Nothobranchius furzeri: one gene and its partners. The protein of the gene in region 2 purifies or fractionates together with the protein of the main gene of each other region. This does not show direct contact. Links are inferred from orthologs where the notes say so. Each region holds a gene or a part of one and is shown on either strand. Other genes may lie near its edges.

Evidence for each region.
Region 1: the proteins of ccdc97 (region 2) and sf3b6 purify together in Homo sapiens (affinity purification with mass spectrometry; 3 studies listed by BioGRID and IntAct, counting the BioPlex papers as one, with this or other methods). This does not show direct contact. The link is inferred for Nothobranchius furzeri from reciprocal best matches to the Homo sapiens genes CCDC97 and SF3B6.
Region 3: the proteins of ccdc97 (region 2) and sf3b5 purify together in Homo sapiens (affinity purification with mass spectrometry; 3 studies listed by BioGRID and IntAct, counting the BioPlex papers as one, with this or other methods). This does not show direct contact. The link is inferred for Nothobranchius furzeri from reciprocal best matches to the Homo sapiens genes CCDC97 and SF3B5.

The regions. Positions count from the first base shown.
Region 1 is NC_091742.1:17,813,802-17,819,949, reverse strand, and holds sf3b6 (splicing factor 3B subunit 6), read left to right. Parts: upstream 1-2,269; 5' UTR 2,270-2,388; coding exon 2,389-2,418; intron 2,419-2,876; coding exon 2,877-2,995; intron 2,996-5,250; coding exon 5,251-5,389; intron 5,390-5,498; coding exon 5,499-5,588; 3' UTR 5,589-5,854; downstream 5,855-6,148.
Region 2 is NC_091752.1:64,455,692-64,461,937, forward strand, and holds the start of ccdc97 (coiled-coil domain-containing protein 97), read left to right. Parts: upstream 1-2,856; 5' UTR 2,857-3,156; coding exon 3,157-3,321; intron 3,322-3,398; coding exon 3,399-3,563; intron 3,564-3,886; coding exon 3,887-4,046; intron 4,047-6,246. UniProt on the Homo sapiens protein: May play a role pre-mRNA splicing through the association with the splicing factor SF3B complex which is involved in branch-site recognition.
Region 3 is NC_091752.1:24,289,529-24,295,454, reverse strand, and holds sf3b5 (splicing factor 3B subunit 5), read right to left. Parts: upstream 3,784-5,926; 5' UTR 3,671-3,783; intron 2,142-3,670; 5' UTR 2,127-2,141; coding exon 1,866-2,126; 3' UTR 1,580-1,865; downstream 1-1,579. UniProt on the Homo sapiens protein: Component of the 17S U2 SnRNP complex of the spliceosome, a large ribonucleoprotein complex that removes introns from transcribed pre-mRNAs.

The sequences.
Region 1 (6,148 bases), on a different chromosome or scaffold from region 2:
GTTCATGCCTTCTGGTCTTTTGTTTTTCTCTTTGGTCATTTTCCTTTGTTACAGCCTTTCAGGCCTAGTCCACACGTAGCCGGGTTTTTTTTTTTAAACGAATATCCGCCCCCCAAAAACTTGCATCCACACCACCTCGTTTAAAAAAAAACTGTCCACACGTACCCGGATAAATACGTTGTTAAGGACATGCCAGACCTGTAGGCGGCAGTACTTCCCCCGTTCTTAACCTCGTCCTTCGTCTGTGGTCTTCCGCAAGGAGCAGTAATTCCGCTTGCAAAAACAAACAAGCAAAAAGCGCTTGGACAATTGATGAAGCGAGCGCAGCTCTGAGGGCATCCATGCTGTCGGCTAGTGTAAACACAGGTCGCACACGTGATGTCAGCATTTTTTGTCGCGGAAAGTGACGTTGCGGACCTTAAAACTCCGGTTTTGTCCGTCCACACGCAGACACCCAAAACGGAGAAAACGCAGATCTTCACTTTGGCCGGAGTTTTTAAAAAGATCCGTTTTCGTGTGGATGACAGGCCAAAACGTAGAAAAATATCTACGTTTTGGCAGATCCCCGGCTACGTGTGGACAGGGCCTCAGTATTTAGTGTGTTTTTCCCACCAGTGTTTTCTTCCTCCTCCCTGATTTAGTAATTGTGTTCACCTGGTCCCTCTCCCCACACACCTGCAATTCATCTCCCTCTCATCTTCCCAGTCTATATAAGCCCTGTCTTGTCCCTGTGTTGTTGTCGGTCCATTGTATGTTTGTCAGCGTTGTTTTATGCTCTAGTTGAGCTTATGTCTCCAGGTTTTGGTGCTCTCAGTGAGCTTTTGTTTTTGTTACCAGGGTTTTTGGATTTTTGGACTTTTGGCTCACTGCCTTTGGATTTATTTTTGTTCGTTCTACAAAATAAAGCATATTTACTTTACATCATCTCCAGCCTCGTGTCATCCTGGGTTTCTGCATATTTGTGTCCTAAACATCCTCAAAACGTGACATTAGAAAGGACTTGGTCCTGATGTTGCTGCTATGCAGGCGGTTTCTGATGGTAGAAAGGACTGTTTTCCTACTGAATGTAGTGTGCACATTTACCAAGGTGTCCTTTTTTAGGTGTTTCACGTGGTCTTGCTGGGGGGGTTAGAGTCTTTAGGGGACAGAGTTGAGTCAGAGCAGTGTTAAAGATGCATTGTTCATGTGATTTACACCTGGTCACGGCCTCGGTGAAGACCAGATGTGATGTTCATCTCCCAAGCTTCACCTTAGTGCCTGTTTGAGTGAAGCCCAGCATAAGCCAGTGCTGCAACATCCGTTACCATGGCAATAACCTTTTTCTTTTCCCTTTTTCTAATTCAGTTGTTTCGTTTGTGCATAAAAAAGGCTTTTAAAAAGTCTGCTGAGGTTTCAGAGGAAAATTAGTTGCAGTATCAGTGTTTTGTTTTTTATAAATATTAAAATTAAAGGTGCTGAAAAAACCTGATTGATGCTCAAATTACTCGAATAGGGAATAGTCTCCAGGTGTGCTACCGCATCCAATTTAAATTTTTACTTCTTGTTTTTAAGTAACTCTATCTTTATGCTCCTCTCTACTTGACTCAGCTGGTTCAGCCCTACGTACCTGGTCGAATTCTTTGGTCAGCAGACCTGTTACAGGTCCCAAGAGTTCGGGTGAGGACGCAAGGAGAACGAGCCTTCTCAGTCTGTGCGCCTCGTCTCTAGCAGTGACGGCTCATTTTTATTCCTTAGCTTTTACTTCAGCCTAGCTAGCATTTTACGATGTTTTTGTTTTGTCTTTATTGATTTTATAGTAGTTACTGTACTACTTTTATTACTTCTTCCAGTGTGTTGATTTTTATGCTCATTTACTGTGCAGCACTTTGGTTGGCCTCGGCCCTGTAAAAATGTGCTTTAAAAATAAAATGGAATGGAAATAGTGCTCCCTTCAATTCTGGAACCAACTGGTATGAAGAGCGAGAAGAACATTTTAGCCTAAATATTTTTTCATGTTTTAAAAAAAGTGCACTAACACTTGTTTGCTATACAGTTTTAAATGTTATTTTATTCGTATTCATTATATTGAAAGAAACTCTGGGATTTTTTTACTGAGTTGAGCTTAAGTATAGGTTCTGTTCAGTTCTTATGCATCTTCAGTTATCAGCCTCAGCAGCCAGTATTCAAATAGCATTTCTGTAAGAATGTCATTTTTCTATAGTTAGGATAATTGTTCCAGGCTGGTTGAGGTTCTTGTCCGCCGCTAGAGGGCAGCACCGTTATAAGGATGTATCTGTAGCCTAATTCCAAACCGGAAGTTCGATATATTTTTACCGTAGCCTCCATTTTGAAGTGAAAACAGCGTGTTTGTTGTTTATCTGCGTTATTTACACGAATTAAATCGTTACGATGGCTATGCAAGCAGCAAAACGTGCTAATGTAAGTGTAATGGAGCATATAAGGGGACAAAGGAAAGGCTAATGTGAAATGTAAGCTAGGTTTAGCTCTGAGGAAGCGTCTCAAAGAATTAGCGCACTACTAGCAGGTTAGCAAATTGAAAACAGTCCTCAAAACCTGAAATCTTCAAGCTTTATATTCACTTTAGTTATACTTACCATTTGAGGTCATGTGTTTTTTCATCTTTTGTTTTGTGAAGACATAATCCTCGTTGGGATATCGTCAGGCTAAGAATATTTGTTCCTTCCGGTACGGAAACAAGGATAAGCTAATGCATGTAATGATTAAAAGTAGCCATGTCTATTGTTAAGTGACTTACGTAGTCTTAAAAGGCCTCAGCTAGTAATCGTGTGTACTTATGTATCAGGTATTTGAGTTTTTACCCAGGTTAGTTTTGTTCCCTCTGAATAGTTTAATGATGTGTTTTAATGGTGTTGTAGATCCGATTACCTCCTGAGGTGAACAGAATCCTGTATATAAGGAATCTCCCCTATAAGATCACAGCTGAGGAGATGTACGATATCTTTGGAAAATACGGACCAATACGACAGATCCGAACGTAAGTTTTCAAAAAGTGTGTGTGTGTGTGTGTGTGTGTGTGTGTGTGTGTGTGTGTGTGTGTGTGTTATTATGAAGTCATTTTCAGAGTAAAAGAAAATTTTATGTAACAAAGCCAACTCTGCATTTAAAGCAGCCTTCACAGGATAAAAGCCACACATCGCTTCACGGTAAACATAAATAAAACAAATGTAAGTAAAACAGGTTTAAGTGTATTTAGAGAGCTCACGTTGAAGTAACAGTTAAGAGTCGTAGAGAAAGCAGCAAAGACAGAAAGAAAACGATCTTTTACGTAGCGCCTCTCAAAATAAAAATCACAAGGCGCTTCACAAACAAAACAACTAGAAAGATGTCAAAAAACGATTAAAAATATGTTTAAAATGAAGATAAGTAAATTGTGATTAAAAATAATAATGTAAGGAATGGGAGAGAGAAAATGAATAGGAAAGAGGGAAATGAGTGGATTGCTGGGAAAGGCGGAATACGTAGAAAGAGCCGAATAGGGAGAGGGTGGTGACGAAGGTCACACCAAAGCCAGCTTGAACTGGTGAGTTTTTAGCTGCTTTTCATAGGAGACCACCGAGTCCACTGATCTCAGGCTCAGAGGGAGAGAGCTCCAGAGTCTAGGGGCCACAGCAGCAGATGATCTGTCACCTTTGGTCTTTAGCCTGAAAAGAGATGAACACAGAAAAGGAGCCACCTTCATGGACGTTGTTTCTGCCTGGAGTTGATTGGTTTGTTGACACAAATTACATGACAAATCCCTTAAAGAGCAAATTGCAGGTTAGAGACTCCCATGAACCAATGTTTAGAGAAGCATAACAGAAACTCGGTTTAGAAGTTTTTTACACAGTAGAGACGGAGCTGCGCATCTGACCCCGGAAGTTGTTGCCCGTTGCCAGGAGACGAAGGCGGGCAAAACAGGAAAGGAATCTAGTAGCGGACGGACATTGTTCTGGGTCTTCGGTATTTGGTGGAGATGTTAGTGAAGGCGGAGAAGAGGGTGGACTAGAGGAAAAACAGGCAGGTTCCACCTCTATTTACAAACTCCTGGGGATGCAACAAGTGGGCGTGGTGCGTCGACCACCGGATCTGACGTCGACGAATTTTTAGAATCGAGCCGTCGACGTCATCGATGCATCGCTACAGCTCTACTGCGCATACCTGTAGTTATCGTCCATTTATCGTTATCGAGGTGAAATCCTCAATATATCGTGATATTGATTTTGAGCCATATCGCCCATCTCTAACCTAAAGGAAGACCCAGGATGCGCTGGAGGGACTACGTCTCTCAGCTGACCAGGGAACACCTTGGGATTCCCCTGCAGGAGCTGTGGAGGGAAGTCTGTGCCTCCCTGCTTAGGCTGCTGCCCCGTGACCCGACCCTGGATAAGCGGCCAGAAATGGATGGATGGATCAGCTAAGATAGTTTGATGGAAAAACAAAATTTGTTATTTTTGTTAACAACAAAAACTAGAGAGCGATCAGTTCACCTTTAATAAACATGGCTGCTGCTGCTTCAAGAGGGTCGGCTCCTTTCTGTAACACCGGTGTGTGAGCAGCAGACTCCTCCTAATATCCAGGCGGTGTCCTCTGGCTTCGGTGTGGAGTAGACCTACTTTAACTTTGAAACTTTTATGCTAGTCGCGTGTGTGAGAGCCCTGCTTTGGGTCTGGGACCCAGCACGTCCTTCTGTTATTCTGTGAGGTGGTACCAAAAAAAAAAAAAAGTCAAAAATGATCTTTTTCCCTCAATCCGTGTCATGTGATTTAGATACAGAGTCCCAATCCAATATTTCAGCAATCCATTAAATTAAGGAAAAAGTAGAAAACATCCAAGTTTTCCATTTTAGGTATTTTTATTATTTATTTGTAAGTTGGAACGGAATAGAAACGTTATCTGTCTAAACGGCTAGAGAAACTCGTCTTTTAAAAAGACACAACTTCCTGTTTCCATGTCATTTCCTCAGTTGAGCTGCTGAAACCATTCAGGAAGAATATTGATCAGAAACATGTTATTACTACAAATATGTTTAGTAATAGTCTCATTCCTTATTATTCAAATAGTTTAGAAAGTGTGTGGCTGCGATGAGCATTACCAAGACTGCACCCACGTTGCAGCTGCCAGGCTCACTCTTACCTGCACACCTGTGGTGCTGGGTGTGTAAAATGGTGATAAGAAAGCAAAAACCGGCGTTTGCAGCCACAGAGTCATCCTGGTTAATATTCTGCTATCTCTGCTCTATTTCTGCCTCAGAGGGAACACGCCTGAAACAAGAGGAACAGCTTATGTTGTGTACGAAGACATCTTCGATGCCAAGAACGCCTGCGACCACCTTTCAGGCTTCAACGTCTGCAACCGTTACCTGGTGGTTCTTTACTACAACGCAAACCGAGTACGTACGAGTTATGGAGCACACACGGGCTGTCAGGGTTGCACCAAAAGAAGACTCAGCAGTTTGAAGTTAAGAGGTTAAAACTAAGTTTTCTGTTTTTGGTGCACAGGCTTTCCAGAAGATGGACACCAAGAAGAAAGAAGAGCAGCTGAAGCTTCTGAAAGAGAAATATGGAATCAACACAGACCCTCCAAAGTAGAGTCACCTAATCCGCCTTCGTTCACCTTCAGAGACGTTCTTTATTAACTTTTCTGTCAATTATTGGCTTATTAAGATGACTCATTTCCCCCTTTAATCATCTGGCCCAACATGCAGGACTGTGGTGTTAGTCCAGTCCAGAACAGCAGCTTCGGGCTTTTATTGTGACTTTGTCCTACCGACCCATCATTTAGACAAACTTTTTATTTAAACATACTGCTGTGTAAAGTTTATCATTCCTGTAAAATAAATGCTCCTTTTTCTAAAGCTCCCCAGCGTTTTCCAAACCTCACATCTGAATCATCCAGCAGGTTTTTATTTCCTAGAGAAAGTCTGACATGCACCGTGTCACAACGCTCGAGTCATCTCGAACTGGTTTCTAGAACTTGACCATGAGGTCACTGGACTCCAGCAGTCGCCACAGTCTCCAGATCTCAGTCCGGTCCAGAACCTTTGTGGAGGTTCTTATGGTTGGAGCCGATGCTGTAATGTTGGGATGGACCGGAACCTCAGAAATGCTGAAGGCTAAAGTGGGTCCAACCCAGTCCTAGTAAGGTGTAC
Region 2 (6,246 bases):
TGGCGTGAGTTAAAGAGAGTTGGCCGTGCTCAGAAGCATCAAACCTGAATGAACTACAGATGTTCTGTAAAGAAGAATGGTCCAAAATAGCATCAACCAGAATCCAGACTCTCATTAGATCAGGGGTGTCAAACTCATTTTAGCTCAGGGGCTACATTGAGGGAAATCTAGTCCCAAGTGGGCCGGACCGGTAAATAATATAAAAACTTCAGATTGTTTTCTTTGTTTTAATACAATCAATATAAAGCAAGGCTGGAGCCTGAGGACAGTGTATCAAAAAAAGTACAAGTACAACACCTGAAGTGTACTTGAAAATTTGAAAAATACAAAAAATCAATAAATTAAAAAAAACATTCCTTAGTGATTCAAAGAGCTAACAGGTCACATGGCTAGAGCAGTTTCATGCAGCACTTAAAGTATATTTGACTCATTTTACTTTACATCTTTTAGCTTTCACCAGCACATCGATATCAAGTCACATCCTGAGTGGCGGCCAACTTCAGGATGTGATTCAAATTCTTGTATGAGCCTTGCGTGCAGCTTTGTTTTATTTATACTCATTACAGAGGAAACTTGCTCACAAAGATACGTTTATTTTCACTCTACATCGTAAAGTATGAAAATAAAGTTTACACAACCATCTCGCGGGCCGGATTTAACCCGCTTGCGGGCCGGATGTGGCCCGCGGGCCGCAAATTTGACACCCCTGCATTAGAAGCTACAGGAAGTGTAACATTTATGCATCTGTCTAATTTGGATGAAACAATTACACTTTCTGTAAAACCTATAACTTGGTTTAACTTCTCAGATATCACTGTGTGTGTCTCCTACAGGATATGTTTAACTGGCATTTTTTATCGTAACAACAAACGATTTCACACCCCACTAAGTTTATACATCATGATCAATTCAGGTACTTATATAAATAACGGTGCCAAACTTCTGAGCCCCCCTGTCTTTTCTGAGGTTCTGGATTCTTCTTTCTTCCACAGCATCTCTGGTCTGTCTGCCTCTACCTCCTCTTCCCAACCTACGACCTCCGACAGCTAAACCCCGACTTTGATCTGCATTTGGGCTTGCTCGTGCTCTCGGTCGACTCCTGGGCCCTCATTTAAATTTGAAAAGGTGTGGTGTGAGTTAAAGAGAGCTGGCCATGGTCAGAAGCCATCAAATCTGAATAAACTGGAGATCTTTTGTAAAGAACGGTCCATTCTGAGATCTTCACATCAGATTTTTGGTTCATTTTTTTGTATGTTTTTCTGATTTGATTTTTTCTTTTAATGTTTTTCAGTGCATCCTTCAAAATAAAAGGACCAGCCAGTTAAAGGGTTAGTCCGTGGTGAGATTAACCTTAATCCATTGCTCTTGTTAAATGTTCTTTATTATTAATAGTTCTTAAATGTTGCATAAAATCATCTAGTTTTTATTCTCGATGAAAGCCTTCCGATTGCAGTAACATACCGTGACCACATGATGTCGCTCTTTAGTCACAGCTTGAGAGGGCCAGAGGCGCTGCTCCTGTAGGTCAGAGTAAAACTCCATCAGCTGTTGTGTTAATCAACAGATTTGTCCTGTTCTCGTGAAAAGACGAGTTTACGCAGAAGGCTTTGTTTTAGCTCCTCTGAGGTGGAGAAAAGAATCGCAAAGGGCTTCTTATCTGAGGTTTCTGCTAACGCAGATGTAAATTTATCACTGAAACTCACGGAGGAAGTGCAGTTACAAAGTCAGAATTATTATCAGGAGAAATTGGTTTAACAACTTTACAGGACTTGAGAAAACACGCCATGCAAACTAGAACAAGGACGTAAAAGCTTGGGACTTTACATAAACTGGTGGAAGTAGACCTTAGAGGCAAAAAGGAAAACTAACTGGAGAAAAACAAACCAAACCTTAAAAGAAAAGATGAGCAATAAGCAACCACTCGATGTTTGAAGAAGGTTCAGGTTGCAGTACTGTGCTAAAGTTTTGATTCAGTTCCGATTTCTTTATATTTTGCACCCAGTGAAAAAAATCTAATTATTTAAAAGTCTCAGCTTCTTTTTCCAAATCTGATCTTCTGCCTTTGATTCGGCTCAGTCTTCTGCCTGAAGGAAGGGGGGCAGTCTGTGTTACATATAAACGCTTATATACACACCATCACGATGGTGGCCTCATTTAGCTTTCGCTTCCACCATCAGGACCTCCAGTGGGAGCCCACCATCACCTCCAGCACAAAAAGGCCCAGAGAAATTCAACCTATCAGCACAGTCGATGAGGCAGTTCTACACAGCAGTCATTGAGTCCACCCTCACCTCCTCAATCACAGTGTGGTATGCAGGAGCTACCACCAGGAACAAGGAGAAGCTGCAGCATGTTATGCTACGCTCTGCTGAGAAGGTAATTGGCTGCAAACTCCCCTCCATGCAGGACCTGTACACCTCCAGGACACTGAGGCGTGCAGGTTGCATCACAGCTGGCCCGTGTCACCCTGGACACAGTCTCTTTGACTCTCTCCCATCTGGCAGGAGACTCAGATGCATTCGGACCAGAACCTCTCGCCACAAGAACAGTTTCTTCCCCTCTTTTCACAGACTCATGAACAACAATCCTAGGACTGCCCACTCCAGCCGCTTGGTTCCAGTCACAATTGTGTTTGTACCTGAATTCTAGTACCTGCACTGTGTATAGTAGCCGCTTCTCTAATTATTGCCACATTATATTAAATATTTTATCATGAGTATATTAGTAATCTCTATATCTCTTAATTTTGTTCTTCTTTTGCGCCAAATCTAGCATTTATCGCAATAAAACCTTCTGATTCTGATAGTTGTTTTTGTTCATCATGACAGTCACCACTCCGCCGCTAGATGGCGACAAAACAGAATATTTCGGCCTGGTAAACCGATCCCGTAGGAACCTTTTTTCCAGCTGCGGGGAAGGGGAGCTGTAATTGTGACGGACCTACGTGGCATGTAAACATTTTGCTGAATTACTGAGAAAAGGCCGTTTGAGAACTGACATAATCCAGTTATTACAAACGTATTGCGTCTGTACGGTGACATTTCGCTTCGTGACTTGACGTTGGCATCAAAATAACCTGAAAAGGGACGGAACGTTAAGCTGAAGACGTCCAAAGCTACTGGATTCACGTTCGTGTCCAGATCAACACCTGTAGCCATGTGGGGTGAGATTGACCCCCCCGTTAGGCCGCAGCCGAGTCTGTTGTTGGAGAGTGAGAACCGGAGTGAAGCTTCAGAGGAACCCGCCGCGCCACCGTGGAGATACGAACAGAACCGGGCCCCTTGCACGGACCCCCAGGAAGCTCCACGGGAAGAGTCGGCGGTGGGAACACACCCATAAACTCTGGGAAGGTGTTGTGCTTTATTCTGCTGCTCTGACGTTTGTGTTTGGGTTTGAAGGCGGAGTCCAGCTGTGTGGCCGCGATGATAGAGGCGGTAGCGATGAGCGGCAGCCCGGTGAAGAGCCAGCAGGTCGGTGAGGCGGAGCTGACGGTCGGGGAGAGAAAGCAGGAGCTGCGGGAGCAGTACCGGAGCAGACCGCTGGTGTTCCTGGAGCGGTACCATGTGAGTGACACACGCACGCACACACACATTTTATCTTCTTCCTCCGTGTCATCCTCATCAAAATATTTATCCTCAGCAACTCTATTAACTAAATCCAGGTTGTCATAGTTGGGGTTATTGTCCACTTCACTGTAACACACACACACACACACACACACACCTGTATAACTGGTTTATTGCTCTTTTGTATTTATGGAGAACCAGGTAGATCAAGTGGCTCTGCTGATCTCAAACACACAGGAAGAAAGCATTTCCCTTTTAAAAACAACCTCACTGTGATAATGCATCCTGACTCGCTTGTTTTCTCCTGTCCTCCCTTTCAGACCCATTTGCAGCCCGAGCACCTTCCTGCATTTGTCCATGTCTGCGCTGACCCGAGAGCTCAGCACTACAGCGGTGTGGTCCAGTCGCGAGCGTCCGGCTGCATCAACAGAACCAGAGTCAGAAACCAGCGTTATGCTGCTCTCAGGGCTCTACAGAAAGGTAGACTCCACTGTAGGGCTGCTCGATTATGGCAAAAACAATGATCACGATTTTTGTGACTGAAATTGAGATCTCGATTATTTAGGACGATTTTTCAATTTATGTTGATTTTATTTGTTTTTATTCAGTCATAAAATTGCTCAGGGCACAATCAGGACAAAAATAAATAAGACACAAGATGATCACTAAAATAACTCCTGATTCCCAGTATAAAAAGACTAATATACTTATAGCTCATAGTTTATGACCCAAGGGCTGTAGACCTTGGTTTAACTCATTTAAGTCTAACCAGTACAGACCCAAATACTAACATCTTGCAAATACTGACAGCAAGAATTATACAGTGGCATTTATAACAAATAAATGCAAATAAATTGATGTTCACAAAATGTTGCATAGCATTTATTTAGTCATGTCAAGGTGCTGTAGGAGAGTGCACTAGCACCGTGTCCTCAGAGAGATTAGTTATTATTTATCAGCGTGAGGAACTTATTTCTACCTTATTTATAAACTATTTATTTACAAGTCCATCAGTTAATGTAATAATTGTCCCAACCACAGCTGCACCCCCCACCCCCCAACCCGGTCTCACAGCAATCGGGGCAAGCTGCACGTGTGTTTAGTACGCCGCACGTGCACATTACGCCGTTTTTAGTGGCTCAGGAGTCCGCAGGTGCGGTGTGTGTGTCACTCACTCTGGTTAATCCAACAGGGAGCCGGCTCCGAGAGCCGTTTCTGTAGCGACTGACACATCACTACATCATTCCCTTTCCTAATGTTGTGAAGAACGGTCCGGAGCGCAGGCGGAGTGTTTAGCTAACCTGCAGGAAATATCAACAACAGTTATCCAGAAAGTAGCTAAGGGTTACCGGAGATGTTTCTGAGGTGTTCGCTAGGTACTTTTAAGATTTAAAAAGTCAAGAAGTGGGTCTGAAAAGCTGCTGGAAATAGCGTCAAAGTCGCCAAGCTGGCAACACTGTGGGAGGAGCGCTTCATTTGCAACTCAGGGCAGCGCAAGTGGGAGGAGCAAATAATCGGCCTGTTTTGTTTTCATAATCATTCTAAACTCAGATCGTAATTGTGATTAAAATTTGATTAATTGAGCAGCCCTACTCCACTGTTTCAGCTGTAGAAGAGGCACATGCATGTGGGTCTAAGCATGATGTCGTTTTACTGCCAAATACGTTTAGGCAACACAGAACACGCAAATGCAAAAATCTTATATTTTCTTTGATTTTTATGTTATTATTGATGGTAAGAATGGGAACTATTTGATGTTTTATCTCATCAGGGCTTATTTTTACTTTACCATTCATACAGGACATCTCAAAGTACTTTACAGCATATTAATAAACGACACCAAATAAATAGAATAAAACAATGAAATGATTTTACTTCATGTGATGATTCAGAAATGTAGAACTGTGAGTCAGCACGAGAAGATAAGAGATGTTTTAATACTTTAATCTGAGCTAAAGGGAGCATGTGGATAATGGCCCGAGAACTGAGCCCTGAGGAACCCCACGTGTGACATTTGTTTGCTCTGATTTATATTTTCCAAACTGATAATGTAATAAGCAGCAGCACTAAGAACCAATTAAACCAAGGCAGATGTTTTTGATGGGTCATTTTTGAGAACCAAGTTCACTGAGAAACCATTTTTATTTGTGATTTGTGCGATACAATCAGTCAGTCTGAGTTTCTCATGCAGGCTAAACGTGAAAAAAGTCTACTAACCCTATCTTCTGCATTAGCTGCTGATAGATGATAGATGAGGGAACACTCACGGAGAAGTGACCCAGATCTACATCACATTATAAATTAGCATTCATGGACTCACCCATCTTGGTTCACGCCTGCAGACGATTGTTGGTTTAGCGTCCAGGAGAGAGTAGAGCACATCTCCGATAGTAGAAGCTGATCGTTAGCGTTAGCAACTCCACAGCACAGCAGCACTCCTCCTTCAGACTTGTGTTATTTGTGGAAATAAAACATTAGCATTGCAAAGAAGACAGAGGCAGTGGAAGAGTCGTGTTGCTGTTAGCCAATCAGAGGTGAGAAGTCATCATAGCATGAATATTAATGAGTAAAACTCCTAATCCTGCTGTTTTCTGCTTCCATCTCCTCCGACTTACTTCTACTTCCTGAAACAGGAGCGCCAGAGCTTTTTTTTCCACAGATTTTGACTCACAAGGCATTT
Region 3 (5,926 bases), about 40 Mb from region 2:
TGGTAATCTGCACTTACAGACATAACTGTTTGCTAAAAAACATTTTGACATTTGCGAATGGAAAACAAGCTCTGAAATAATCTGGCATCTCTGCTAAATAAAACCAGAATGATGATGTGAAGTCACGCACACTGATCTGTGTGAACCCAGTGGGTGGGCAGCTGCCGACCGGTGTGTGTGTGAGAGGTTGTGTAGGTGGACAGCACTTTCTTGAATCTGACTGGCTGAACAAATGTTGAACTGTTGGTGAACATTTACTAAGCTTTAACTTAAAACAAGGGGTTATTAGCACTTTTTGAGCCTTAAATGCAGAATAATATTTGTGCACATTTCACAAAATCTCAGCATTTCCTGATGCAGCTCAGTTTGTAACGGTGCTGACAGCTCGTTATTAAGCGCCTGAATGTCAGTCGTATTCCTGGATTTTTATGATTACATCAATCTTTGACATTGGAGCCCAGTTCAGCCACTGGAAAAGTACTCTGATAGCATCAAGATTGTGACTTTCTAACTCATTATTATGAATTTAAAGTGAGTTGTATATTTACAAAGTCATATTTCACTTTTTTCAAGTCAGGACTTTTAATTTCATGAGTTTGCTTTTCATAATAATTAGTTTGCTTCCATTTTACTTTTCAAGTCTAATTTATGATTTCATGACTCACTCGATGTAAATTTTAAAGTCAACTATGACATCACAATATGTTGTAATTGTCTTTACATACTATTATGTAGAATCACAAACCTGTGACTTTGATCTTATTTAAGGAATTTATACTGCTTTTCTTTTCTTTATCCTGATTCATATTTTTGGTAATAAAAACATACTTATGACTTAATTTCTGAACTTTTTTCTCAATGGCAGTAACAGACCTCCATACGTTGTGCTTGTAAATTGATTTTCTTATCAATGGATTTCATAAACTATTGATTAAAGTTGTGTTTAATAAGAGGGAGTTTAAGTTACCAAAGAAGGTGAATTGTTTAAAGCAGGATTTAGCGGTTTTTCATGCACACAGCTGTCACATTTGTGTTTCTGAGGCAATTTAATTTAAAAATTCTAGCTTTTTGTGTGTCAGCAGTTCCCAGTTTTGTCTTGAAAAAGCAGGTCGGCTGGTTTTGAAAGCAGTCTTTTGGCAATTTTTAATAACATCATAAACCTGTGTTCTGTTGTTTTTAACACCGTTATTTTTTTTCTTCAACCACCTTTTGGTGGACTTTTCTAAATTTCACCCACTGATTTTTCAGATAATTTTCTTCCGTGAAATTTCCTACTGCAAATAAGCAGTTTCAGCATTTGAACCACAGTGCATCAGTTATTGTTGTAGTTGAGTAAAAGCATTTTGCTACAACTATAATAAAATAAAGATTATCTGCATTAAATTCTCTTTTTTTTCTTAATATTGCAGAAAAGTATTGGGTGTAGCTGAAAAACACCAGCATTTCAGAGTAAAAGGCTTCAAAAGGCTACCTGCCACCTATGAATGTTTATTCAAATAAACCCAAATCACATTCAATCCAAATGATGACAAATAAAAGTGTTGTGAAAGAATAGATGAATAGCTGGCTGTAAAATAAATAAGATTGTAGAAAAAGGTCAAATTTTAATGAATAAGCAAAACTTATCATGGGCACATTGTAATCATCAATCTCTTCAATCTCTTCACAGATAATTGTGCATCACTTAGACACATTTACCGTTCTTGTAAACATTGAGATCTTGAAATAATTTGTTTTGCCTCAGTGCTGTCCATATGCAAACAAAACTACTATAAATGGATGATCCAATTATTTTTGATAGGGTCAAACAGGATTTAATGGTAGAAAAAAGAATTTCCAGGGACAAAAGCTCACTCTGGAGTTATTTAAGCATCATCGGGCTTGTCTGCTGGGGGCCCACATGGCTGAAGCATCTTCTCCATCAAATTGAAGCGAACGCGGGCCTTGCTCTCATTCTCAGCCACGGAGAAGTAGTTTAGCAGGTCAAAGTGTCCCATGTAGGAGCAATATGAGTCACGATGTTGGTTGACCAGCCATTCCCACTTGCTGGTATCAGCATGTCCTGTGCCGATGTACTTTGATTGAAGATGTTCCAGCTGACTGTGGATGTTGTATCGGTCCGTCATTTTCACTCAAAGACTCTGGATGGGGAAAGGATAGAAAAACATCACCCGTGATGTTCTTTAAAATCATTTATATAAAAAAATTCTACATTTTCTAGAATATTAGGCTGATTCATTAGACGTTGTTCTTGTACAATGTTGTTTGTAAAGGTCAATCTTGTTTGATTCACCAGGGAAAGAAGTCCTTTAAGTTTTAAAATAAACTTGGGGTTTCATCAGTGTCCAGATGAAGATGTACTGTTATTCTTAAAAAGATAATGTGTGCATGCTGTACGTAATTCATGCTGGGATGCAAAAAGCATCACTTGTTTTTACTACATTGTGTCAGAACTCCATACACACATTAGCCTGTATGATGTTGTATAAGGCACATACTGAGCAGGTAAAGCTTTTTAAAATGCTGCTTTCTAGGGATGAACAATATATCAGCATCAATATCTGTATCGGCCGATGTTGGTCAATTTTTAACATATCGGCTCGATAAATAAAACCAGGCCGATATTTTTTCCATCTCGTCTCCATTTGTTCGCCTGTTTCAGAGGGTGAGGGGGGTGATGTGTAATTGTTTAGTCATGTGAACAGTGAATGAAATAATCTCAGACCCATAAATGTGTGTGTTGCGTGTACATAATGTAAATTCAGCTTTAATGTCAGCATATCTGTACCGGCAAATATCAGTTATCAGCCATAACAGTGAGCTCAATATCAGATATCGGTATCAGCCCAAAAATGTCATATCGGTGCATCACTACTGCTTTTCTACATGTTTTAACTTTTAGAACAGCTAAAAAGTTTCAGACTTTTTAACATTGATTTCCAACAATGGTGGAAAGAAGAAAAAAAACCTCCAGCTCAGTCTCTTTTTAATTTGGGTCAGACAAACAAAATAAACGAGTATTTGCAGCTAATCGTAGCAGCAAAAGCTACTTCTTAACAGTATTGATACTATTTATTGACACAATCAGCAGATCGCATGCGCTTTTGATTTAGCAAAAGAAAAGACAACACAAACGCAACAACAAAACCTTAGAAGGTCCCAGGACTAAGTACTGATAACGCAACGTGTGGGTGACTACTTTAATCTGGATGTATGGTGACAACTAGGGAAAAAGACAGAATTAAAGCTTAAAAACTACCACTCCAACATTAAACATCCCAAAAAGACTATTATTTAAAGCAAAATACAAACGAACATTTCAAATATATTGGAAAGGCTAACGATGTTAGCAAAGTTATCTAATTCGTTCATGCAGTGTATTTTTCCACTGCATTCGAATCCTTAATCGCCGTTATTTATGTGAGTTTTATCCAAATGATCAACATTGACATATTAACAAACAAAATACAATTCCAAATATTCGGTCGTTGCCCTTTATTTACACATTTTCTTTGTTGGACAACGTTTGATCTTCCACTCTTTATGCTAACAGTAGCTTAGCTTAGCTAGTCGGTCTTCGTGTAATAAAAGTCTAAATTTAGGCTCCCCTGGAGGGCAAATAATAGCTTCAGCTTCACATCAATTGGTTTTAAAAGAACAAAACACTTACGTAATGTGTACAGAGATCAAGAACTAAAACAAAACAGGTAAATTAATTCTGAGTCGTTCAGGCACTGACAAACGACCACTGCCGGCGCGTTACCCTATGAAATGATCCGGGTAGGAACAAATGTCGTACTGTTCTGATTCCGCTCCATTGGTCAAAGTGTACTTCTTACTCACTCAAAGAAAGTTTTTTTTTTTTTTTTTTTTTAGAAAATCTGGGTACATTAAATACAGTTATTATTTTCTTTGGTTTATTTGTAGGTTAATTGAAAATAGGTTGTGTCTATGTTGCAATCTTTTCTTTTTTATGTTTTAAATTCGTGTGTAGCCTCTATCATCATTCCACACCATTCAAGGGAATACGTCCATTGTTTTTCTTATGCTTCTAAAAACAAATAGTACTACTTGGTCTTCTTCCAAATAAATAGACTGCAGTATTTATTGGCTTTTTCTAAGGATATAAATATGCAAGTGTCTGCAGCAATCATTAGAGTACCTGTGCAGTGAGATAAACTTTTCATCAAAACTGATGTATTCATGTTGTTTTAAAACATTTATCTTAAAACAAATAATCACAGTACAATTTTTCAAATTGCCACATCGAGACTAAATTGCTCAGAATTGCTTAGCACTGGGCTCTCCTGTGGCTGGTATAATGAAATTTTTTCTGTGGATAATGTGTTTGATGATGTTCTGCATTGAGCATGTTTGCTGCCTGTAGAGTTATGACCCTAATTTTCCATCTACCAGCTGTTGCTAATGGCAACCATGATTGGGACAGAAAAATATGAAAATATGGTTAGATTTGGGTTCAGAAATGTTTTGAAATATTTGTTAAAAATTACTCACCTATGATCTTGACTGCTTTTCCTCACTAGGGTCAAAGGGAGCAGTCTTTCCCCAGCAGTCATTAGCAAAGTACACCCTGGACAGGCCACAAGATATCACAGGGACACTGGGACAAACAAACTACCACGTTATGGTAGAGTCGCGTTGTTGTTATCCAACGTGGATGTTTTGTCTCTACAGATAGCACAAGCCTGGAGGAGCTTCTGCTGTGTGGTGGGGTTGCTAATGCTAATGGTCAGTGTTGGGAAAGTTACTTTTAAAAAGTAATTAGGTATAGTTACTGATCACGTCGTTGTCCAAAAAGTAACTAAAAGTAACTAATCACCAAGAAAAATAAACATTTTGTTACCTTTTTTTTCACTAAAGAATGCAAGAAAAATGGGTTCCCCTCTTGATTAAACTTACTTAATTTACTATAAATTACTACAATACTGAAATATAAATGACTAATGACTGGAACATAATAAAATGTATGTCAAAATGTTTTTTTTTTATCAAACTGAATAATTGAAACAGATGGGCACTTAACAGGAGGAACTACAAACAGGAACATTACATTAATCAAGACTATTAAAATGTCACTGTGTGATATTTAACAAGACCCCAATCAGCTCAAAATTATAATTGCAAATATAAACAACTGTAAAGGTTCCTGAGCCTTTAAATGGTCTCTCAGTATAGTGAAATTCCTGAAATAAAAGTAATTTTGCACAGCATTCTAATTTTTCCTGCTTCACATAATTGTGTGTTATTAGTAGCATTTCTGTTGCTGGTAATCTAGTAATGGTGAAATAAATAAACAAACAAATATCCTTTAAAATGACACTAGAAGAGGCACAAATCTGATGGAGGACTTAAATGTACTAACATGGGTAAGACCCAAACACAGAAGAGCTGAAGGTGGGTGGTAAAGACGCACAGGAAGTTCTAATAACACCTGAGCTCCATGATGTCTGAGACTGATGCATCAGTGTTACAGCAGGACTAAAGACATGATCAGAAACAGGTTACAGTTGGATGATCTAGGAAGGTAGAAGATCGTGATGTCTGAGTGGTGAACAGATGAGTGGACCTTCGGGACGTTCCGCTGTCACGCCAAGAAGGGCACGGCTGCAGCAGCGAATCTGCGGGTCTGCAGCCGTAGACTATTCATCACGTCTTCCTTGTTCTTCATGGGCCGTGATGCACTTGGATGAAAACATGCGCCTCTTTAGCTCCCAATCAGCTGATGGCAGCTTCAACACACCACGCTGCTGAATTAGTAACACACGCATTTTCTTATCAGTAACGGAAACGGCGTTATGATAAAAGAAGACGATAATTAATTAGATAACTCTTTACTGAAAAAATATTTTTTAGTAACACTGTTATTCCCATCATGGTTAGCTTATAGCCAGGATGTTTTCTGCAG